Linked DNA regions of Tribolium castaneum. The protein of the gene in region 2 purifies or fractionates together with the protein of the main gene of each other region. This does not show direct contact. Links are inferred from orthologs where the notes say so. Each region holds a gene or a part of one and is shown on either strand. Other genes may lie near its edges.

The links.
Region 1: the proteins of DCP1 (region 2) and Ge-1 purify together in Drosophila melanogaster (affinity purification with western blotting; 4 studies listed by BioGRID). This does not show direct contact. The link is inferred for Tribolium castaneum from reciprocal best matches to the Drosophila melanogaster genes DCP1 and Ge-1.

What each region holds. Positions count from the first base shown.
Region 1 is NC_087398.1:143,572-148,166, forward strand, and holds the start of Ge-1 (enhancer of mRNA-decapping protein 4), read right to left. Parts: upstream 3,111-4,595; 5' UTR 2,975-3,110; intron 2,857-2,974; 5' UTR 2,854-2,856; coding exon 2,807-2,853; intron 2,753-2,806; coding exon 2,360-2,752; intron 2,296-2,359; coding exon 1,956-2,295; intron 1,906-1,955; coding exon 1,793-1,905; intron 1,228-1,792; coding exon 1-1,227. Other genes in the region: lysosomal thioesterase PPT2 homolog, read right to left, coding at 3,156-3,354, 3,404-3,677, 3,736-3,843, 3,893-4,034, 4,085-4,219. UniProt on the Drosophila melanogaster protein: In the process of mRNA degradation, seems to play a role in mRNA decapping. Required for silencing a subset of endogenous miRNA targets.
Region 2 is NC_087395.1:13,737,679-13,742,296, forward strand, and holds the start of DCP1 (mRNA-decapping enzyme 1B), read right to left. Parts: upstream 3,068-4,618; 5' UTR 2,874-3,067; coding exon 2,175-2,873; intron 1-2,174. Other genes in the region: BCL7-like (B-cell CLL/lymphoma 7 protein family member A), read left to right, coding at 3,433-3,521.

The DNA.
Region 1 (4,595 bases), on a different chromosome or scaffold from region 2:
TGCAATTGTTGTTTGGACATTGTTAAATCTAACTCCTTGTTAAAGTCTTCGCTCAAGCCTTGTTTAGTTTGGTTTAACGATTTGAGTTCTTGGTGAATTTTTTGGATAATCACATTTTGGTCACTAATTGCGTTTTCGATGCTAGTCAGTCTAAAATTGATTGCTTGCCACTGGTTTTTGTCCCATTCTGTTTCGTTCAAATTTGTTATCTCGTCTCCGCCTCCCAGTCTTAGGTTATCTTCTTTATTTATCTCATTATCTTTCTTAACTAGAGGTAGTTTCAGCCAAACCATTTCAGGATTGGGGTTCTCTTGGTACATGAGATTTTCGTTATGTTTGTACTCCTTCTGGGGTATTTCTTGTTCTTCTTGCATTTTCGTTAAATTATCGAAATAGTCCTGAGTGCTGTACGTTGAATTGTTAAGAGATAGAATTTCCTGAACTTCTCTACTAGGACTAGAACCTCCACTTGCAAAATTATCCTTTTCAGGTCTTTGAAAATCAATCAAATTCTCAACAGTATCGCCATTTGTGCCTTCGGTTGATTTATTAATATCACCATTGATGCTAGTTCTGACACTATTAGGACGAGAGTTTTGTTCAGCTGTTGTAAAAGCGTCAGGAGTCATCAAAGTTAATTGTTGCTGTTGCTGTTGTTTTATTAATAAAGTAACGGATGACTGAAGATCGTCCAATTTTGGCACTTTCTCCAATTCCTCTTTAATTTCATTAAATATAATCTCAGTATTACACAACATCGCATCTGGTTGAAATACAATATTACACTCTTGGAATTTTTTCTGCTGAATCACCAACATTTTGATAACAACAGCTGCAACAGTATCGTCTTCATCATCGTCATCTTGATCGGCATCTTGTGAAAACTCTTCACTCATATCGGACGAACGTAATTTGCGACAGTTGGCTTCGGTTATGTGGAAGCTCAAAAAGGCAGTTGGTAGTAAAAATTGCGATATCATTGTTACTGATATTTGTTGAGCTTCATCGCTTCGTTTTAATTGCAGGACGTATAAAACTTTATTGTTTAGATCGGACATTAATAAATACTGACCCGAGTAGTCTATACTCATTTTAAGATAAACACTTTGGATTAGATTCGATGGATCTGGTTTGAAATGGATTGTCTGGAGACAAGTCCACGTTTCACAAGACCACAACTTTAGCTCAGAGTTGTGATTCGCACCCGTTATTGTGAATTTCCAACACCTGAGAAATGGCAGCAACATTTTAGTCAGAGCCAATATTATTTTGTCTTTGAATAATATGTTGCTTCAGCAGCAGGACAAACAGGAAAAATATCATTGTAAGTTTTTAAATTTCTTATTCTGACATGCAATTTGCAATTGAGCCGTCTAAATGCAAAACTGACTCTTTGACAATGAGTTAATTTTGAGATATTTGCGAAAAACTATTTTTTAAAGTTAAAATAACTTTTAAAGAGCATTTTTCTTTATGTGGTTTCATTATAACTGTAAAAATTGAATGTCGTATGCTGTATAAATGATAGTTCAGGGATAAAATAGGAATTTAGATTTACAAAGAGCAAAGAGTGAGTTTTACATCTAATTTATGTAAATAATTGTAATAATTTAAATACCTACATAATTAAAGCAAACCGAAATTAATTAAAACAATTAAAAAAACGATTAGGCAGCAGATAGAAAATATTTTTCGAATTTTTGACAAAGAACGAGATTTGCATTTAGACGGCTCCAATTGTAAAATAAATATTTTTACCGACTTTAATTTAATCATTTTGTCATGTACTTACTGAGAACTGCACTCCAGCAAATTGTCGACAAATATGATAGAAGATAGTGGTTTACCATCATGTGGTCTCCACTCATGCAAGCACTTTTGCTTTTCATTGTCAACCATGTAAATCTAAAAACACCAAAAATGTGAACAATGACCTGTTTTGCGTTATTTTGTACTTGAAAAAATTTCACATAACCGTCTAAGCAAGCAATTGCAATAGCGGTCCCATCTGACGAAAATGAAGCATCTACCAATTCAGCAGTATGGCTAATTTCAACATAACCCTCATAGTTTTCATTTGGTTGTAAAGGACCTGGCCCATACTTTGCATTAATCATGCCAAAATTCCATATTTCGGCTTTGTCCCAATTTAATACCACAAACATTTTTTCAGGATCATCTGGTGTCTCCTCTTCCTCGTCAAAACAGGTCAAGTAGGGACACCAGATAATTCGAAAGTTGGGGCTTGAATGTGGGACCACATCACTGTGGAATATGTGGAGTAGTTGTTTGTATCTAATGGCTAGTTAAGGGCCTTTTTTATTTTTTTACGTTGCTTAATAAAAATTTTGAAGGATACTTTATTGCACTAGGTTCATCAATGATTTCATAAATGAAAACATTGCCTTCGTCGTCAATACATCCTAAAATAATCTGTTGGCGTGAAAAAGCAAAAGACAGGTCTTTGACATCATTTTTCAAGTTTTTGATTAGTGCTCTTTCGTTGGTCTCTTGGTTCGTAACTCGGATCATGCCCCCGTCTTTCCCCTTCATCCCATAAGCAATAATTTTTCCATTAATGTGAACAGCGACCAATTGTCCGCGATAATAGTGAAACTCCCAATTATAATCAATCCGATTGATAAGTTTCACTTTAGAACTTCCATGGTTATGCTGTCCCGAGTTACACTGAACTGTTACTTCATGACCCACAATTTTTGCAGAATATTCCGTATCAGAATCGGTGTAACTGCTGCAAAAACACCAATTCCCTCAAACATAACCTCAAATTTCTGCTCATACGTACATGTTTTGGATCACGTCGTCTTGAGGGGCGAGCGGTGGCGAATTCATTTTCTATAAACCAAGAGTGGTAAAAAACACAAAAACCAAACCGGACTCAATATAAAAAACACGAAAATCGCACATATTGCGTCTCAAAAATTAACAAATTTATTGAAAAATGTGGGCTTACGTGTGTCTTATCCCAACTTATTAAAAGTCACTCTAAAAAGAAAAGATAAATCGTCAAACGTCAAATAAAAAATTCGTTTTAGTGGATTTGGGTCGTGATATTGGCACCAAGCGAACTTTAAAAAAAGGCGCCAACCTAGTTTTCAGGTTTTATTAATTGTTGACTACAGTTTGGTGTTGACTTAATCAAGGTATGGTAAAATATAATTGTCGACGATTGAGGTATTGAGATGCCACATAAAATGGTTAACACCAGGGACAGTGATAATTTTTAATTTTCCAGCCTTATCCAAAGTCTTCAGTCCAATAAGATCATCCTTGTAAATATCACGATCGATTAAGTTGACCACTGTATCATTTTGGCCAAAATATCCAAACTGACTGAAAAATTTTTTACAAAATTATTAATTTTACAAAAATTGAAGTATACCTTGACTCCCAGGGGGTTATCACGTTGTCATCAGGGCCCCCAATCAGCACCATTGCGTTAAGTTTAGTTATTCCCTTCTTGAACTCCTCACTTCTGTTTGAAATAATTTCATTGTTCACGAATGGTAAATATTGGGAATATTCTTTGTATAAAGTTTGGTGGTAAGGGTCGTTCCAGTAATTACCGACTGAGGTGTGTTGGCCTACCCTCGAGTAAAATAATTCAAAAGCTGATTTGAGTGCCAAGTCTGGGAAAATCAAATGTAAAAAATTCGCTAAAATTATTTTTATTAACAATTATAAATGTTTCAATGTTGGTTACAATGGTCGTACTTCCATACTGACCGGCTTGGGGGCCACTGAGTGAGATAAAATTATGAACATTGTGATTGTTAAATGTTTGTAGAATTGTTCGTGAAAGGAGAGCCCCTTGTGAATAACCTACAATATATTTGACTCTTCAGTTTTTTTCCCACAAAATAAAACACACCTAATAAGTGTATCCCTTCAGGATGTTGACTTGAAACGTTTAGGAGATCTTGGCCAAGCTGCTGGACTTGATACCACATGTTTTCCAGACTTGACCAACCAGAAAATCGATTAGTGTTGTAAATTATTGTACCGGGGTGTTGCTGGTGTCATAATTATTTTTTTTTTTTCATTGTGCAAAAAAACAACTTACTTCCTCAATCCGACCTTTGATTATTTCCATACTAGCACTTCCTGTCATGATTCCATGAAGTAAAAAAACTGGCTTATAACTCAATATTGTTATAAATAAATCACAGATAATGCAAAGTAAAAACAGATACTTCATTTTCACAAAAATAAATAAAGTACAATAAATAATTTCCTGAGTATTGTAACAATCTCACTTGTAAACACCAAAGTTATCACTAGCAGATTTGCTTACTGCGTTTTAAATAATGATTGGTCAGTCATTGTTCTTTGTGTGTTTAATTCGGACATTGAATGATATATAAATATAAACAATGAGTTGAATTAATGAATTAATTAATAATAATGTTGTCACTATTCATTTATATTTGGTTAGAGAACTGTCAGTGTCATTTTTTATTACAGCAATCTATAAAGGTACACCTTGCAATTACTAGTTGGAAGAACTGCGTACAGGTGGCCGAAACTTCGTCGTTTCCTGGGTCAAATATAAATCTTCTTCAAATTATATGTTA
Region 2 (4,618 bases):
AAATCGAATAAAATAACGATTTTTGTTTAAAATCGGCAAAAAGGAAATAAATTACAAAAATAGTATAAAAAACTCGTTTTATAAGACCATGAAGCACTCATTCCTTCAAAAAACTCGTGGCTAACGCCAATTGTTTTTGAAACTGAATTTGTGCTTCAAGATTAGTCTTATGAAAATAAGAGATATGAGGTCGGTTAAATTAGGGCAAAGTTGTGCATTTTTATGCTGAACAACTATCCGAAAGAAAAATAGACGTTTATTTTTAGTTTTTGAATTATTGGAAAAAACGGAAATTTGTAATTTTTATTTTAATTTTTTCAAGCAAAAACCATACGAACTCGACGTTTTTAAGGACGTTATAGACACTTTTTTGACAAGGAATTTAAATCTGTCATAGTATTTTTCAAGGCGTTCCTGATGTCAGAATTACAACATTGAACTTTGATTTGTCTTAAGGAAGCCATATTCGTTTTTTATATTTTTGAAAAGTGTTTTTACAACGATGTATCACATGATAGGATCGAATCTTACATGCTTGCATGCAGATTTATGGTGATACATCGTTGTAATCAGGAACAAAAAGTCTTTTAAAAAATACAAGTATCAAATACAGCGTCCATAAAAAACAACAAAGTTGAGTGTAGTAACTCTGACATGAAGAACGCCTTGGAAAAAGCAAATGACATTCAGATTTCTTGTAAAAAAGTGTTATCCTACATAAAAACGTCTAGTTCTTTTAAGTTTCGCTTAAAAAGGTAAAACCCAAAATGACAAAGTTTTAATTTTTTTCAATATTTCAAAACCTAAAAATGAGGCATTAAATTTTCTTTCAGGTAATTGTTTAACATAATAATGCACATCTTTGCCCTAATTTAACTGACCTCGTATCTCGTATAATAACAACTGAAGCTCGAAAAACAGACACCCTGTTTACTATGTATCATGGTAATTCTCTTGGTTAATATTTTTCTAAACGTGTAAAAACACGTGTACTTGTAGGGCGTTGCCATGTTTTGTTTTGGATTTCAGTCTTGTGTTTTCAAAACGAAAAGTTTTGAGATTTTTTTCGAAAATAGTATTTTGTACAGCTCTATCTAGCTGATCTCAAGTGTCTGTCCACGACTTTTAAGACATAGCGATATAGCGTAAAAATAAATATTTATTATATTATTTTCAATTTTATTAGATTGCTGTAAACCGGCCGTTAGTAAAGTTTATCCCATTTCAGTTCATAGTAGAATTTTGCAACACCGCATTTGCATTTTTTGGAGTGAAATGGAGAAATTGAGAGTTTCTGGTGGGTATTCTTGGCTCAAAGAATTCTTTCCCTATACATAAACTCCTAATTTATTTTACTATAAAAAATTCAAATGCGCTCTTAAAATTCTAAAATAAATTCTACTGTGAACTGAAATGGGATATAAAAACGTTTTTAATTAAATAAATGTCAAAAAAAATACATAAGCAAGTATCAACCGTGACAATCTGAACATCAAGATCTAATAATAGTAATAATTCGAGCGTCTGCCACTTTCTGATATAAAAAAATCTAAACAATATCGTTATTTACCACCTTTACGCTTAACATTGTTTACAGCTCAAAGTTCAAAAGTTTATAGCAGTATAATTAAAATACTATAATAGTGTTTCTTGTATTTGCAAAATCAACCCTTTTGTAAATTACTTATGTCAAACGTTTTAAAAAGTCATCAAAAATCGGGAAAAAATACAAATTTCGTACACAAATGATACTGTCAATACAAAGTGCCACCAATTAGAAAATAATAAGCTAATTAATCAAAATAAAGAACACATTGCACCACATTGCAATAAATATTATACTATAACTTTAATAAATCAAACCCAAAAAACTCACAAGATACAAAATGATATTATCTTATCAAATCTAAGATCGGTCTATGATTTTACTCGATATTTTCTAAAACAAAAAATAAGAAAAATTTCTAAATAGACATATTGAGGTAAATAAAGTAAATAAACAAACTTCATTGCCTTTTATGGTACTAAAAGTAAAACATTAAACAGCCCCCTTTTGCCAATTATTCTTCAACAAACATATTTCCACTTTTTACACAAGATTCCGCATCATATGTTACGTAACAATTTGTGTAATGAAACTAAAATATTGCTAAACATAACTGTATAATATTTACCTGCTCCTGTGGAGTGATAGACCTCTGCTGCTTCTCAATGTGTTCAACCGTGTGAGCCGGGTTGGACATCAGCCTCTGTAACACGTTCTCTCCGTCGCCCCCCGTCACAATGGGCGTTTGATGTGTTGACTTGGTGCTGGCTTTAGCAAAAAAGTCCATAACACTTTTTGAAGTACAATCCCTAGGTGTAGAAAACGCCGGCGGAACCGATTCTTGCTTCGTCGGCGTTTTATTGAAGTCTTCCTGCGCCTTCGAGAGAAGACTGAAAATGTCAACGCCGTTCTCCTGCTTCTTCGACCTCTCGTTCGACTTGTCTTTGAGACTCTCCATCACTGTTTCAATTAAATAGGTAATGTGCACACACTCTTCACGGTTGAAGAACCAGATGCCAAATATTTTGCTTTTTGAATTCCTGTAGAGCAGAAACGGTATTTGCATCTGATAGTCAAAGTCTTTCACAATTGGTTCTATCACATTGTTTGTGTTGAGTCGGTTCATAACCATAATACTGTGAAACGGCTCTCCATTTCTGCTGTAGATAAACAAAGCGCCTTCAGTGTCGGTTTTCTCCCATTCGTTGGTCGAGGTGTTGAATTTGTATAAAGCAACGTGTGTAGCAGTCGCTAAAATATCTTTCACATATGGATCAACTCTTTTGATAGACGTAACACTCATACGCAATTCGATAGAATCGGCCATGATTTGAAACTGCAAAAATGCCGGTAATGCAGACCGCGGCCGGTAACCACAACATCTACTTTTCGCAAAATTTAACCGTCCCCAAATGAAGAACTACACAGTTTCCTCGAAACAAACTCAGTACCACAGTCCAATCAAATTAAAAACACAAAGTACGAAAAATCTTTTGAAAATTTCACATTCTAGTTCAACACCGCCTGCAAGAGGACGCGCCTGTCGAAGGACGTAACAAATTTGTTCGTTGACTACAAAACCACGGTGCACCAGGGCTCTGTCTTTAACGAAACTTTCGATCAAAAAATAAAACCACAAACCATGTGTTTTTACTTCGTACTGTTACAGCTCAGACTGTCATAAGATGCGTATTTTCTTGACTACGTTTCAGTAATTTTTGTGACTTGGAATGACGTTTTACACCACCGAACACACTTTTCCTGGTCCGTCTTTGTTCCACTTTGACACTCGCTTGTTTTTCGTATACTTTAGAAAAATGGCTTTGAATTTATAAACTTTAGATTTGTATTATTTTAATTATCGTGAAAAGACTTTTTGAATAAAAATGTCGCGCTCCATTCGTGCCGAAACTCGTAGTCGTGCCAAAGATGATGTTAAGAAGGTTATGAATGTTATAGATCGGGTTAGGCACTGGTAAGTTTAATACCCATTTTATTAGTTTATTTAATTAAATTCTCCTTAAAAGACCTCATATAATTGTATAAATGTGTAGGGATACTCATTTTTAAAAATGTACCTATATTATTTCATATCAAGATGGCAAGGAAAATTTTCATAGATAGGGCGATCGATTGTCAATGGAATTAATTAGCTCCTGATATTAAAAATTTATTAAATGAAATCAAACTCTCAATCGCTTATCTTATAGTTGTTATTAGTAGAGTATTAATTTACGAAAGATTTTCCAATTAGTTCAGTAAAATCTCCACGATTTCTTACGGATAATGGTAATGGAGTCCTACAGGATGACCCATTTAAAGCTTGAGTGGGAAACAACTAACTTAGAAATATAAATAAAAACAATACAATTACAGTATTTATTCCAGGACATATTAATATAATATTAAGACACTTCCATAGAAAAAGATGTGCAAAAGGAATCTTGAAATTCAAATTTGATAATCGCATTTTTAACATTTTTGGAGCTCGTGAAACAGCTGACTACTCGAGTAATAAATTGCTCAACTTAAAATTTATAAAAACACCCATTGGTTTACATAATTAAAGACTACAAGTTAAACCAGTTGATTCAGGTAAGAAGATAACGTGCCCCACATCCATAGAATGCAACCTAAAATTCATTGTACATATGATTTTAAACAAATTAAATGTAAATGTAGAAGATGTTCGACAAAGAACTTACGATTGTGAGTTGTATTTATTTTTCCAAAGCTCGTCATCTTACGTGAATTAACTGGTATATTTTGAAGGATATGAATTTTTACTTTCTTTTTTCACCAACTTTTCACTTTGCAAATTACACAATGAGGTTTTTATTTTGCTGAACAAAGGCGTTTCTTTGGAACTGTTTGCAATGGATTGATATGGACTTTTTAAAACTGAACAGAGGATAAGTTTAAACTGTTAAGTTTGTTATGTAATGTTCAGAGAAATAAATTCTTCACCATATAATACAAAAATCTAAGAATTATAATAATGCATTGATTAGAATTTTTAAAAATTTAACCTAGGATTAATAGTGTTATGTGTGTTCAGTAAAATAAAAACCG